2 linked regions of the Neurospora crassa OR74A genome follow. Each later gene encodes a partner of the first gene's protein in a complex. Links are inferred from orthologs where the notes say so. Each region holds a gene or a part of one and is shown on either strand. Other genes may lie near its edges. The genes, in order: NCU03597 and NCU02232.

Region 1 (7,431 bases):
AAGATGTGGGAGTTTGGGGAACTTGGCTACCTACCTAGTAGTTGGCGTGGTTCTTCTTCTTCTTACTCGCTGTTATTACCTACCTAGGTATCTTGTTTCGAATTAGGTATCCTATGCACCAGGCAAGAGACCTATACAAATCAAAAATTGTCCAGAAAGTGAAATTGCACGAAAACCACCATGATCGATAAAATACAATGGCAATCGCGCTAAGGAGTAGGAGTAGACGAGTGTGTGGGCTTGACGATCAACCAGCTCGTGCTGTCGAATCTCGTCTTGATGACGAGAGCAGACAACCTACCTACCTAGGTAAGCCTTCATTCAACTGCGAGATTGAACTCGGTACTCTGGCATTACATGAAAAATGGTTCTGTCGTACCTACTTAGTGCCCAGGCTGTTTTCCACTAATGCGTGGCTAGTACTGTACTGGAATATAGTGTATAGATCAACCCTTAAAACTATTTGTTGGCGCGCGAGGTCCCACTGGGTGGCTCACACATGCACCAAAACTTGTTGACTCCATTCACAGCGGCCAAAACAAACCTGTGTCCAGACAATAAAGTAGCCATACAGTCATGAGACTGTAGAGCATGAGGTTATATGGCGAAGCAGCAACCCGTTTCATGTTCCACTGAGTTTTACTAGTGTTTGAAGACTGTCAACCAAGCTTTGGCGTGGTTGTTACTACCTACGTTAGGTGCTCCTTATCAAGCAGTGAGACCGAGTGTTGTTTGATGTAGGGTAGGTACCTCTTAAAACAGTGCCAACCCTTTGTTCAAACTAAACTGATATTATGCTTCGCCTTCTATGATGTCTAACTGACCAGAAACACCCTAATGGCGCCTAGTTTTTCTATAATTGGTATCAAATACACGACAAAATCACCATTCTACTCTTTACCTAAACCCATTGCGACTAACCCCAACACCGTCTATTATACAGCTGAGCGCACCTTTTAAGCAGTGGTCTCTCCGACCTCAGTTGACGCGACAACCTTTGGCTTTTCCTCTTCCTTCTTCTCCTCCACAGGCACCGCCGCCGGTGTGGGCTCTGGAATAGCAGCAGCCTCGGGAGCCGGGGCTGGCGCCTCGTCGTGAGCCTCCGTTGCCACTGGTACGGAAGCAGTAACAGGGGGAGGAGCAAGAGCAGTCTCGGAAGCAAGAGCAGGCTCGGGAGCAAGAATGGTCTCGGGCTCAGCAGCCGGCGCAGGCGCAGATGCGGCAGGAGTGGGCTCAGGAGCAGAGGTGGCAGCGGCAATAGGACCAGCAACGCCAACCTGAGCATGCCCAGTGATGAAATCCTCCAGCTCGCCAATCTGCTGACCACCGGCAACCCAGCGCTGGTACTTGGCCTCCCGCTTCTCGACGCACATCTTCTGCAGGGCGGGCCAGTAGGTGGCATGGTCGTAGTCGAACTCAAGAGAGCCGTTGAACTCGGTCCAGAGCTGCTCGGCGGGGACGTACTTCTTCATGTCCTCGTTGAACTTGAGCTTCTCGCGGGTGTTGGGGTCGATAAAGGGAGTGATGAGTTTGAAGAAGCCGTTGACAATCCAGGGAACTGTGGTTGGTCAGTTTTCTGGGTGTTCGTCAGACATTAAGCATTGCACATACCATTAATAATGAGAGCGCGCCCGAGTCTCTCGGGGTAGTGGTTCTGAAGGATGTTGAGGACTTCGCGAGCCTGACCGATGCCAGGAGCCGTGTTGGACCTGGACTTGCTCGACTTGAAGTTGATGAGCAGAGACAGAGTCTCAACCTGGGGCGGCATAAGGTCGATAACGCGCTCGAGCATGAAGACGAGGTGCTGAACTTGGCGAGGAGAGGCCTCGGTGTTCTGGCGGCCAGGGTTCAGGTAATGGCAGACGCGGCCCTCCTTGTCGTAGCCCAAGATGATCTGCTTGCCGGTCTCGTTTTCGGGCGAGATGTGATCCGCAGTCAACTCCTCGACGCCGTACTCTCTCCTCCACGTGAGCGTGCCCAGGATGCGTTTCTCAGCCTCCTTTTGATTCCATTTTGTTGCGCGCAGAAAGCGGAGGAGACATTCCCGAGTCAACCAGAACTTCTCTCTATCGGTGATGGGACCGGCCTTGCCCTCAGTCGCAGGGACTTCCTTCCAGTTTTTGACTTGTTCGAGCAACCAGTTGTACTTTTCCTCCTGGTCAGCCGTAAGCGCCGCTTGGGGCTTGGGCTGGCTGTCAGGGGTAGGGGAAGCCAGAGGGACCTTGAGGACAGTGGCCATTTTGAGCGAGCGACGTGGTAAAGAATTTGGGAATTAAAGAGAGTAGAGTGAGCAAGATCAGAAAATGCAGGAAAAAACGGAACGAGACGTAGGAGGTTGGCTTAGAAAAAGAAAGTTGAGATACGTTGAAGTGGAAGTGCAGTGGAATTGGACGATGCCATGAGCCCAATCTCAAGCGACCGACGATGTGTCAGCCGCAACCAAACAGATTAGGGGCTTTGATTGCTGGCCTCAGGGCAGATCGCTTCGATGATCACGGAAATTGGCGAATGTCTTTCCGTCTGGACCGAAGCAAAGCCAAGACTTGCTTGGAAGCAAGATGTAGAAGATTTGTATTTCACCATTGAAAATATGTGCTGGCTTGACGGAATTGGTGACAAACCCAACATGTCAATCTTCTCGAGTTTTGATGAAGCAGTGCACCTGCTTGATGGACATTTTGCTGCCCCTGCGTTCACTTTGAAGAGTTTGGACAATCCGTCTGCAACTTGCAAGTACGTCTTAAACTTGCAGCAAAGCGCTTTCCGGATTGTGGAGCTAGGGAAGCCGCCGCGCACCAGCCACAGATCCCCTGAGCTACAGCGCCGCTGCGTCACACCCTCGGGCCACAAGGACCACCCCTGCCAATTGGATTAGCGTGTTTTCGCGTTAATTGATTTCTACGGCGCGGTCAGCACCACAATGGCGCGTCCTGTGAATGTGTAGTGGTGGTTCCCCTCCGTGATCATATTCGTGATACCGAATTGTTTGTTTGTTTGTTTGTTCATTGTGCCACTCAAGCTGCGACCACACAACTCGAACCGCTATTTGTTGCAACTTCAAGTAGGGACGGGACTGCATCGACTAAATCTGTCAAACATCACGAGCACCGAAGAGAAGAACGAGGCGCAAACATCACCTGCCATTGCGATCATGGCCGATCCAGTCGTGGCCGAGCTCAACGAGCGCTTCGGCACTGCCAACACCGAGCTCTCTCCAGATGTCATATATGAGCTCCAGTCGATTATGCGCCTGCACGAACTCGACGTTCAAGACATGTTCTTCAAGTGGGAGTCGTACTGCATCAAGATGGACATGGACCAGCCCAAGATGTCCATGTCCACTGTTCGCAAGTTCAAGCAGGACCTACAAGACACACTAGAACGAGCAAACCGAGCTCAGGCGTTGGAGCAAGTCAAGACCGAAAAGCGACCGGGAGGAACACCAAGGCCAGGAGCGAGGAACAATAGCGATGTGTTTGGTATGCTTGATGGACTCACAACACCGGCAGCTCGACGGGCAGCAAAGCTTGGTTCGGCTAGGAAAACACCAATGGGGACTCCCATCGGCTCCCGCTTGAAGAATGAGCCCGTAAGCTCGCCGATGAAGCTGGAGGCACAACTAGATGCCATGGGCGTGATTCCGTATGTCCAGACCAGTTCCCTGCATACGTACTGTATGTACCTTGCTAACCGTTCCAAGACCATCTTCTTTCAAAGATAGACCAAACGCCGGCGAAGTGATCGAAATCCTCAACGAAAATCTCCCTGCGCCCGAACCACCCATCGCTCCCTTCGGCGAGTCCCGCATCAAACTTACTGCCGCCTCCGATCTGAAGAAATTGGGCTACAAGCCACTAGCAATGAAGCTTTCTGAAGCATCCGAGATCTTGGACGACAGGATAGACGACTTTACAAGTTTGGTTCTGGAACATTACAAGTTGGACGAGTCGGTATTCGGCAGCGCGGCTATGCAGAGTACCACAGAGATCGTGGCAGTCGGGCGTGTCGCCTCTGATACGTCCGAGGGCAAGCTCAACGCCGCTTCCCTCGTGTTAGAAACCTCCAGAAAGTTGGGCGGCGGTTTCCGGGTACCCCTAAACGTCAGCAAGCTCAAGGGTTACCAGTTCTTCCCCGGACAGATCGTCGCACTACGCGGAACCAATACCACGGGGCGTGAGTTCACCGTCAACGAAGTCATACGCATGCCTCTCATGGGCAATGCTGCCTCCACACTAGAGACCATGGCAGCACACCGTGAGAGGCTACGCGGCGGTCCGGACGCCATGGACACCGACGACGAAAACCCCATGCCTCTTAACGTCATCTTTGCCTCTGGCCCCTACACCGCCGACGACAACCTCGACTTCGAGCCCCTCCACACTTTCATCAACGAAGCAGCAGACACCTATGCCGACGCCGTCATCCTCACCGGCCCCTTCATCGACGCCGAGCACCCCCTCATTGCATCAGGCGACTTCGACCTCCCCGAGGAAGCCGTCTACGACCCTGACGCTGCAACTCTGAACACTGTCTTCAAGTATCTCATCTCGCCCGCGCTGAACCGACTCGTGTCCGCCAATCCGCACGTCACCATCCTGCTCGTTCCCTCGGTTCGCGACGTAATCGACCGCCACGTCTCTTGGCCGCAAGACCCCTTCCCCCGCAAGGAGCTCGGCCTGCACAAGAGCATCAAGATCCTTGGCAACCCAATGACGCTCAGCCTCAACGAGACGTTGGTGGGGATCAGCAGTCAGGATGCGCTGTGGGAGCTCAAGCATGAGGAGCTGATTGGCGGCACGGTGGAGGATACCAATGGCTTGTCGAGGGTGGCGAGGTATCTGATCGAGCAGAGGCATTATTTCCCGCTGTTTCCGCCGACGGATCGGACGAAGCTGCCCAAGACGGGGAGACAGGTGATTGATGGGCAGGCTGCGCCGGGCGCCATGCTGGATATCAGTTATTTGAAGTTGGGCGAGATGGTTAATGTGCGTCCGGATGTGTTGATTGTGCCGAGCGCGTTGCCGCCTTTCGCCAAGGTATGTTTTTTTTTTGTTGTGTTGCTGAATTTGCTTTTCATCCTGGGAATGCGTGCAGTTACTGACTTTCTTGTCTAGGTCATTGAAAGTGTGTTGGTCATCAACCCCGGGTATCTATCACAACGCAAGCGAGCCGGTACATATGCCAGGATGACACTGTATCCGCCAAAACTGTCGGAGGCGGATGCTGCGCCAGGTGGGATGCTTGCCCATAGGATCTTTGAGAGGGCAAGAGTCGAGGTCACCAGGATTTAAACTTAATCTCGAAGTTCTGGGTTTGGTAGACATGTCTTGATGATGTGAAAATTTGGAGGTATAAATCTGGTTTCCATGTATTTGTATTCGGCATTGGCATGAGGATAGGTATAACCAGGTGGTTTGGCGTCGGGATGAAAAAGAGTTTGCACATTCACCTTGACGATACAACAGTATTAATGTGAGAAGTTCTTGCATGAGCCGACGAGGCCGCAGGTAGGCAAGACATGGACTACCTAGTATCCACCTTTCTTCGCTTGTCGCTCTCATACCGGTCCCGCTCTCTGGATGGTGACCGTTTCCTCCGCTCGCCGTGGTCGCGATCACGATCACGTCTTGGAGACGGCGACCGGCGCCTCTCCCTGTAATCATCATCCCGACGTCTGTCACGGTCCCGATCCCGATCCCGGTGACGGTCCCTGTCTCCGTCCCTGTCACGGTAACGGTCCCGAGAATGGTCTCTACCACGGTTGCGATCTCTATCGCCTCCCCTATACCGATCCTCACCACGCGGCCTGTCATCACCCCTTGACCTCTCCGGGGCGCTCTTCCGATCACCCAACGGAATGGCATTCGAGCCCTTCGGCCCATCACCACCCCTATCCCTGTACCGATCCCTATGAGAGTCATCAGGCTGGAACCTTTCATCTCCAAACCTGTCAAACTCCCTCCCTGGCCTGTTGTCATGCAGGCGGCCCCACTGTCCCGTATCTTCACTCTTGAGGTCTCTGTACTTGGTGGCGCCCTTTCTTCCCAGCTTGGTCATATCTCTCAGCTGCAGCGCCTTGGGCAACAGCTCCCGGTTCTTAACATCGTCCGCAAACCTCGCGCCCATAATGTCTCGCTTGTCCAGTCCCATCTCCTTGCTCTCATCCTGGTAGAAAGCACCCTTGTGAAAGTACTTTTGCATGTATGCCATCTTGCCTTTGCCCTCTTTCTCTTCCTTCTGCTGCTGCAGGTGTTTTTCATCTTCGGCGCGACGTTCTTCTTCCGTGAGGTTCCGTCGGCGCTCGATCTCTGCGAGTTCCTTCTCCTTGGCTTCGATAGCCTCGCGCTCGCGCCGGACGCGCTTCAGCTCACGCAGTTTCCAGGCAGCGTATTCGGCTTCGGGGTCAATGTCATCCGTGTCGTCGATTTGGTCGTCTTCTGGGTCGGTGTCGTCGTCCCAGTGCTTCTTGCCAGCGGCGCGGGCGGCAAGGTCTTTCTTGATTTGCTCTTCGACAAGCTCGTCGGCGGCGCGGCGGCGGGCTTCTGCGGCAGCTGCTTCGTCTTCTTCGGGTGTCGATTTCTTGTTTGTCGAGGCGGAGTTGGATGCGGTTACTCCAGCTTCGCGGTCGGCCTTTCGAATGAACTTTGGTCGCAGCATCAACCGCCTTGGTGCTTCCTCTTCTTCTTCTGAGCTCTCTTCCTCTTCCGACTCTTCTTCCTCGTTGCCACTTTCCTCTTCCTCTTCGTCTTCCTCCTCTGTCACGAACCCTTCCTCTCTTGCTTTCTGTTCGGCCGCAATGCGCGCCTTCGCAGCTGCCTCCCGTCGCTTTTTCTCTTCTTCTTCGTTGTCTGGGGCGTTGCTGCCTATTCCGGCGGCTTTCAAGTTGATCTTGCCATCGTTGCCACGACTGATGATTCGGCCAGGACCTGCTGCATTGGCAAACTTGGGCGCTGGCGCTTTCCGCGTGGAAGGCTTCTTGGGGGCTTCCTCCTCGTCTTCGGGAACGTTGTCGGATTCGGATTCGGAGTCGACACCGGTGGGCTTGCCGGCGCGGTAGCGCGGTGCCTTGACCGGGTTGGCCGTCATGCTCTTAGCTGGCGGCATGACGGGCGTGGCTGTGGACGTGTAAAGCTGATATCTGGATGGCAATGCAAGGCTGAATGATCAAGTACAGGTGGCGAACCTTAAGGACGGGCGGAATGGCGTTCAAAATGAAATGCTGGGAAATGCAACTTTCATGTCCGGGTGTAATGATGAAATTACAGTGCAACGTCACGTAGTACGATACGTGCAGTAAATTTTGTGACGCGGCAAGTGGACCTCGCAGCGGGTGTGTTTGGTTCCCGCTGCCCGGCAGGGCCACGACCCGCCGTAGCGATCGAATGCCCCGCATGACAGCCCTGTGTGTCTGTGTTCGGGTGTTTTTTGGTC
Region 2 (7,070 bases), on another chromosome or scaffold:
CCGGTTCGAGCGGGTGCTGAAGAACGCGCACCTGAACTGGAAGGGCGGCGTAAAGTGCATCGAGGGCGACTTTATGCAGGCGGCAGAGGTTGCAAAGGGTATGATGGAGGAGACTGATGTCAAGGAGGGCATGATTGATCTCCTCAAGCCGAGTGGAAATGGTGGGTTGTTGCTTCCTGAGCCGGAAGCCGAGGAGACGGAGGAGGGTGGTGAGGGTGGTGATGCTGCTGCTGCTGCGGCTCCCAAGCCGAAGCCTGAGGAAGAGGCCGAGGATGTGAACCAGTCGATTGTTTACCTGTCGGCAGAGTCTGACTACACCCTGGACAAGCTAGAAGCGAACACGTGCTACGTCATTGGCGGCCTGGTGGATAGGAACCGCGAGAAGGGCCTCTGCTACGGCCGGGCCAAGGCGGCAAAGGTGCGGACGGCCAAACTGCCAATTGGAGAGTATATGGCGATGCAGAGCCGCTACGTCCTCACGACAAACCAGGTTGTAGAGATCATGGCCAAATGGCTCGAGTGCGGTGACTGGGGTGAGGCGTTCCTGACCGTTATTCCCAAGAGAAAGGGCGGAACCCTCAAGGCAGAGTCGTCATGTGGTACCCCTGCTGCGGACAACGGCGAGGATGATGAAGAGGAGGAGAACGGCACCCAAGAAGCCAATGGTGAGGCTGCAGCTCCCGAGGTCACAGACCAGACGACAGAGCAAGCACAAGATGTGCAAATGTCTGGGTAGAACCGCTGTCTCACCTCCACCAGAATCAATCCTTCGAATGCGAAGACGTGGATGACGGCTCTTTGCTCTGTAGGAAAAGTCCAGTGAAGATCCCCCATAACATCCAGTGGCAGATTAGATGGCCGTTGTATGGTTTAGGATGGCGGGTGCATCACAGGGCATATATACCCAATTATTTTGAGCCGCCAAACAAATACCCTTCTCAGTTATCAAAAAGGGACATGATGTTCCCATGTTCAAGCCAGCCGTAGACCTGCTAAACCTTGGCCTGCAAACGATATCCAGTCCTTACCATACAACGCCAATGACCCCTTACATCACAAGATGCACAAACATTTGACCCAAGCCTTCTATGTTTCCCCTATTCCGACTTTATTTTCAATCCACCCATCAAAACTCCATACTCTCACCTCCTCCTCCTCCTCCTCCTTCCTCCTCTCGTTCCCTCTTCACCTTAACCTCCCTCTCATCCTTCATCAACCCAATCACGAAGCTTCTGAAAAACTCAATATAGCCCTTCAGACTCGTCTTCTCCCAATCCACCACATGCTTCTCCACCTCCTGCTCCTGGCGCCCTTCTTTTGGTTCTGGCTTCTTCCACTCGTCAATCTCCCTAATCAGACTCTGCACCGTCGGCACCCCCAGCGGATCAAAACTCTCTAATCCCCTCTTCACATCAATCGGCACACACACCCTCCCTGTGCCCGGGTGCACGACAAAGGGAGACTTGAGCAAATGATTGAGTTTCTTGGACACTTCGATATCAAGGCGCGGGTACGTGTACTCGAGCACAATATCCTGCTTGGCGTCCAGGAGGGACTTGGTGTCAAAGTTTTTGGCAGTGGACGTCTTGGCCACGCTGTCGATGTCGGCCCATTTCAGGGTGGACGGCCGGTCGGGCGATGAAGCCCACTTGTTGCGCAGGGCGGACACGAGTTGCTTCTGATCCGAAGGTAAAAGGGCGAGGAGCTTCTCTTGCTGGTCCTCGGTGCGCCAGGGGTCTTGGGCCTCAAGCACGTCCGACTGAAAATGCTGCTTGAGGATGTCGAGGGAGCGGACCAAGTGCGGGTGCAGCGGCCGGCGGAGGTTGACTTTCTTGCCGCTTTGCGCGCCGCCCCGGATGACTTCGAGGTAGCCGGCGATGGCGCGTCGCTTCTGGTCGTCTAGCGCCCGCGCACTCTTGTCGCATACCCATGCGTGAGCACCGCGACGACCCGAGTATACCCACATGATGTGCTTGAAGCCAAAGTCCTCGCGCAGAGCCGTGTCGACGACCTTGATGGCCATGGTGATGAATTGCCAGCACTTTTGGCATATGTTGGCTTTGTCGCAGCAAGTACGGATGTCATCGTAGTCTGTCAGATCGATATCGAAGCAGAGTTCCTTGGACAGGGGCCGGAAAGCTGACGAGTTCCGTAGCGTTTTGCGATCGCGGGGGTTGGCTGTGTAGACGGGACCAATTTCGAAACGCGAGGGCATGAGGCGGAGGACATCTTTACGGAGTCTGTTCAGGTTGGTCGGGTTAGTAAGATGGATAGCTGGAAGGGAACCGGATAGACAAACTCACAGATCCGAGGTGGTGAAGGATTGGTATCGTAGGTATGCGTCGTTCTGCAACGTAAAGGCGAATTCACGATGGCCGAAATCGTTGGTGGGTGTTGGGCTGTGGTTAAGCCACTGGAACAGGTATCGCCATGGGAAGAGGCGCTGGTAGAATGTGCGCATGACTTCGGGATCTGAGGCTTCGTGGAGATCAATCTCCATGTCACTGTGCATAGTTAGCTTCTGCTGTCTTGGGCTTGAAATGCATGGTTGTGCTACCTTTGCGAGGAGAGCAGATCGGGCGAGCTTGCTGGCTCCCTCTTTGCTGCCTTGGTAGTAGGGAACTCGTCATCGTCAGAGTCCATCTCATCAAACAGCTCTTCGAGCTTCACTCCTGTTGCCGGTTTGCTCTCGCTCGGCGCACCCGTGGCAGCCTCTGGTACTGGGGTATCCTGATTGTTTGGCGTCTCGGCTTGACTTTCAGCCTTTGACTCTGAGATATGAGTTGTGCCATTTGTCGGGGCGGATAGGACTGCATTGGAGTCTGCCATGTCAACGTCTTCGTCTGCTGGCTGTTGGGCTTCCGGAACTTGGGCCGTTGTGCTCTCAGCAACGGCATCCTCTTGCTCTTGGTCGACATTGGCCATGGGTATCGGCGAGTTCTCTGACTCTGGTGGTGATTCGGAATGAGGCATTGTGAAGGCGCTCGAATACGAAAATAGTTTTTTCTGAAATCGAGTAGTATCCTATCGTTCCGTGAATATCTGGGAGTGTTTGGTCGGGTAAGGATTGCCTTTCTTTTTTTCTTTCTTTTTTTTCCAGTGTTGATTTCACGATTCATGGAACAACCTCAATTCAGTAATAGTCGCGTCGTAAAACCGCGGTACGCGTAAAGCACTTGCAGTGGAGCGGGGACCATGCAGAGGGGCGGGCAGGCATGCAGGGGTGCACGCTGACAACAACTGCAACCTCCAACGTCCACTGACGGCCCGGAGGGGGTGTACCTTATATAGTAGATAGGTATTAAACCCTAACCCTTCATTTAATGACAATAGGTAAACTCATGATCAAAAAATACTGTCACCTCCCCCTAATGCCTAATGCACCCTATTTATTAATATCTTAATACCAACCTTCTAGAGTGTATTCTACTACTAAACTTTAATATTTTTTAATGATTCTTATTGCAAATGAAAGGCTAGAATCTAATTTAATATTTGGTATACCAGCCTTTATTCCTTCTGTAAGCCTCGAGGCGTTTGGGCATTAAGTTGATAAGGCCGTTAATGAAGTCTTGAGGGATGCGATTCTAAATGCTAATAAGTATTTCTCTAATTCGACGCTTATTTGCTTCGTTCTCCGTTAGTAAATAGAGTTCTGGGAATTCTTTTTTCAATATCCTCTTTATTTTATTCTAAACGTACTCAATGGGGTTTAAATCCGGGCTATGAGTAGGATGCGCTATATACTAGATACCGTAGTCTTCCAACCAATCTTTAGTTTACTTCGAAGTATAGATTCTCGCATTATTTTAGAGAAAAAAAGTTCCCGGACGATAATAAGGAGCTAATCCTTACTCTAAAACATCGATATAAGAATTAGAAGTATACCTATTCCTTACTATAGTTATATTACAGTTTATAATAACGAGGTTTAATTATCTACCCTTCTAAATTATCTTCTAAACTATTAAAATAATAGAAGCTTTAATATAAGCTTTAAAATTAATTAATCCGGGTTTAAATTTATTTTAAGGCCGTCGAAATACTGAATTATTGGGCTAATTGGGGGCGTTCTAGATAGAATATTTATTAGAATAACTTCCCTATATATTTTGGTAGTTAATAGTAAGGTAAGAAAAATTTGATAAAAAGATAGGCCTACCTCCAATAAAACTTCCTTTTGATAGCGAAATTCCTTAGAATGCTCTAATCTTTTTTTGGCATCGTCCTTTGAGAGAGGAATCCTCTTTATTGAAATTTATTTTCGTCGATAATCCTTCCCTAAAATCTTCTAGATAGTATTCTTAGTAACAATGATACTACTCTTATTAATAAGGGCTCTCCAACTTATCCGAGGGCTCTTTTTGACTATTCGATGGATATATCGCTTTTTTGTAGGGGTTAACTTCTCCTTCCTACCCCTTTTAGGAAGCGCTTTGAGAGTGTGGTAATTTTGGAAGTGTTTAGAGATTCTGATAATAGTTTTAATACTGCAATCGAATTGCTGGGCGAATTGGCGATACAAAACTCCGGTATTTCACGATGCAATTATAGCTGCACATTCTGGCTCTTTTAAATCTTTTTTAAACCTTCGTATACTCTGGGCATCTCCGGTTAAATGGCGACCAAGATCAGCTATTTTGGCCGGGAGTTGATGGAATTGCAAAGGTTTAAAGAAAAGGTAGTTGTAGAAGTAATGGCGGGGTGGAAGGTTGATGCAAATGCAGGGTGGGGGGAGGTGACAGTATTTTTTGATCATTACTGTACTTAGCTCATCCTGTCAAGTGATGGAACGAGTTGGGTCCGTTTGCGGTATTCGTCCCTCCTACCGGACATCAACTCTTCAGTTCCTTCTCTTCCAATTCCCATATACCTTCCGTATTCCCGTCTCTCTCTCAAACTTTCAACCAGTCTGGTTAACGAACGGGCGGGGTGTATGCGATGGGGAATCGTTGAGCTGGCGGACCTTGGCCCACGCCCCCGTCTTCCCCGTATCGTGTGTATCCGCCCAGTTCCCCCGACGCTAAACCCCCGACGTCATTGGGGACGGGAAGGCCTAAACGTCGACCACTGACATGGAGCCGAGCAGGCAAAACATGGGATCAACGACGAGCAGGCGGGAACTACTCAACACCGACCGATCATCCCAACTCGAAACTTTTTTTCCTGACTTTTCCTTGACCTTTTAACCTACCACATAATCCATTAATCCGTATACTGGTTGGTATATTGACTCTCCATTACCTTGTGCATCATTGATACATCGCCAACCAACCAGGCATATCACTGCCACCACCAACATGGCCGGCTTCCGCCTCACCATCGAGAACGGCTCCTTTCGGGACGTCCACGGGAGACAGATTACCCTACGAGGCATCAATGTCGCAGGCGACGCCAAGTATCCCAACAAACCCGAGCAGCCTTCCCATGTCGGCGAGAACTTCTTCGATGGCGACAACGTCAAGTTTACTGGACGACCATTTCCCAAGGAAGAAGCCCACCTCCATTTTTCGCGTCTCAAGCGGTTTGGATACAACACCATCCGCTATGTGTTTACGTGGGAGGCCATTGAAGCTGCTGGCCCTGGTATCTACGACGAGGAATGGATACAGCACACCATTGACGTTCTGCGCGTGGCCAAGCGCTACGGCTTCTATATCTTTATGGATCCTCACCAGGATGTCGTAAGTGGATTTCTCTCTTGTGTAGTTGTTGAGCTTGGGAAGCTAACATTTGTGTGCCACAGTGGTCTCGTTTCTCAGGCGGCTCTGGCGCCCCCATGTGGACGCTATACGCTGCTGGTTTGAACCCACAAAGCTTTGCAGCAACGGAGGCGGCCATTGTTCATAACGTCTACCCAGAACCCCACAACTTTCCCAAGATGATCTGGTCGACAAACTATTACCGACTCGCTGCCGCAACCATGTTCACACTGTTCTTTGCTGGGCGAGACTTTGCGCCAAAATGCATCATTGACGGCGTAAACATCCAGGACTACCTACAGGATCACTTCCTCAGAGCCTGCGCCCACCTTGCCCAGCGGATACACGAGGCAGGCGACATTGAGAACGATGTGGTGTTTGGCTGGGAGAGTCTGAATGAGCCGAACAAGGGAATGATTGCCTACGAGGATATTTCTGTCATACCCAAGGAACAAAACTTGAAGAAGGGGACATGTCCGACCATCTGGCAAACCATACTTACGGGGTCTGGTCGGGCGGTTGAGGTTGATACGTGGGACATGGGCGGCATGGGTCCGTACAAGGTTGGAAGGGCGCTCATTGATCCCAGTGGTGAGCAGGCGTGGCTACCGGCTGACTACGACGAGTCTCGCTATGGCTACAAGAGAGACCCGGGGTGGAAACTAGGCCAGTGTATATGGGCTCAACACGGTGTTTGGGATCCAGCCACCGACTCCCTGCTCAAAAAGGACTACTTTGGCAAGCATCCTGCGACGGGCGAACATGTCGACTACCCGTATTTCAGTAACCGCTATTTTATGGACTTTTTCCGTAAATACCGGGACACGATACGATCGATCCACCCCAACGCCATTATCCTTCTTCAGGGACCCACGATGGAGCTGCCTCCCAAAATCATTGGTACTCCGGATGGCGATGACCCTTTGCTCGTATACGCGCCACACTGGTACGACGGCATCACCCTCATGACGAAGAAATGGAACCGAGTGTGGAATGTCGACGTGATAGGGATTCTTCGCGGTAAATATTGGAGCCCTGCGTTTGGCATCAAGATTGGAGAAACGGCTATCCGGAATTGCTTCAAGAACCAACATGCCACCATGAGACAGGAAGGTCTTGATTACATTGGGAATCACCCATGCGTGATGACCGAGTTTGGCATTCCTTACGACATGGATGACAAGAATGCCTACAAGACGGGCGACTACTCGAGCCAGTCGGCTGCGATGGATGCCAACCATTACGGTGTTGAGGGGGCGGGATTGGAGGGCTACACCTTGTGGCTCTATATGACCAAGGTATGTATCAAGATATGGTCAACTCTTGCCAACTTGAAGCTAACCGACGATTGTAGAACGACCATGAATT

What was found.
Region 2: NCU03597 (region 1) and NCU02232 share a complex: the UniProt entries of both Schizosaccharomyces pombe proteins name them as parts of the alpha DNA polymerase complex. The link is inferred for Neurospora crassa OR74A from reciprocal best matches to the Schizosaccharomyces pombe genes spb70 and spp1.

The regions. Positions count from the first base shown.
Region 1 is NC_026505.1:1,788,777-1,796,207, forward strand, and holds NCU03597 (DNA polymerase alpha/primase associated subunit), read left to right. Parts: upstream 1-2,910; 5' UTR 2,911-3,151; coding exon 3,152-3,642; intron 3,643-3,700; coding exon 3,701-5,036; intron 5,037-5,114; coding exon 5,115-5,291; 3' UTR 5,292-5,523; coding exon of another isoform or gene 5,524-7,104; 3' UTR 7,105-7,245; downstream 7,246-7,431. Other genes in the region: NCU03596 (CRAL/TRIO domain-containing protein), read right to left, coding at 957-1,558, 1,612-2,239; NCU03598 (microfibril-associated protein), read right to left, coding at 5,524-7,104. UniProt on the Schizosaccharomyces pombe protein: Accessory subunit of the DNA polymerase alpha complex (also known as the alpha DNA polymerase-primase complex) which plays an essential role in the initiation of DNA synthesis.
Region 2 is NC_026507.1:3,249,906-3,256,975, reverse strand, and holds NCU02232 (DNA primase small subunit), read right to left. Parts: upstream 3,149-7,070; 5' UTR 2,974-3,148; coding exon 2,558-2,973; intron 2,505-2,557; coding exon 2,304-2,504; intron 2,241-2,303; coding exon 1,127-2,240; 3' UTR 787-1,126; downstream 1-786. Other genes in the region: NCU02231 (tRNA (guanine-N(1)-)-methyltransferase), read left to right, coding at 1-736; NCU02233 (glycosyl hydrolase), read left to right, coding at 5,301-5,684, 5,747-7,000, 7,057-7,070. UniProt on the Schizosaccharomyces pombe protein: Catalytic subunit of the DNA primase complex and component of the DNA polymerase alpha complex (also known as the alpha DNA polymerase-primase complex - primosome/replisome) which play an essential role in the initiation of DNA synthesis.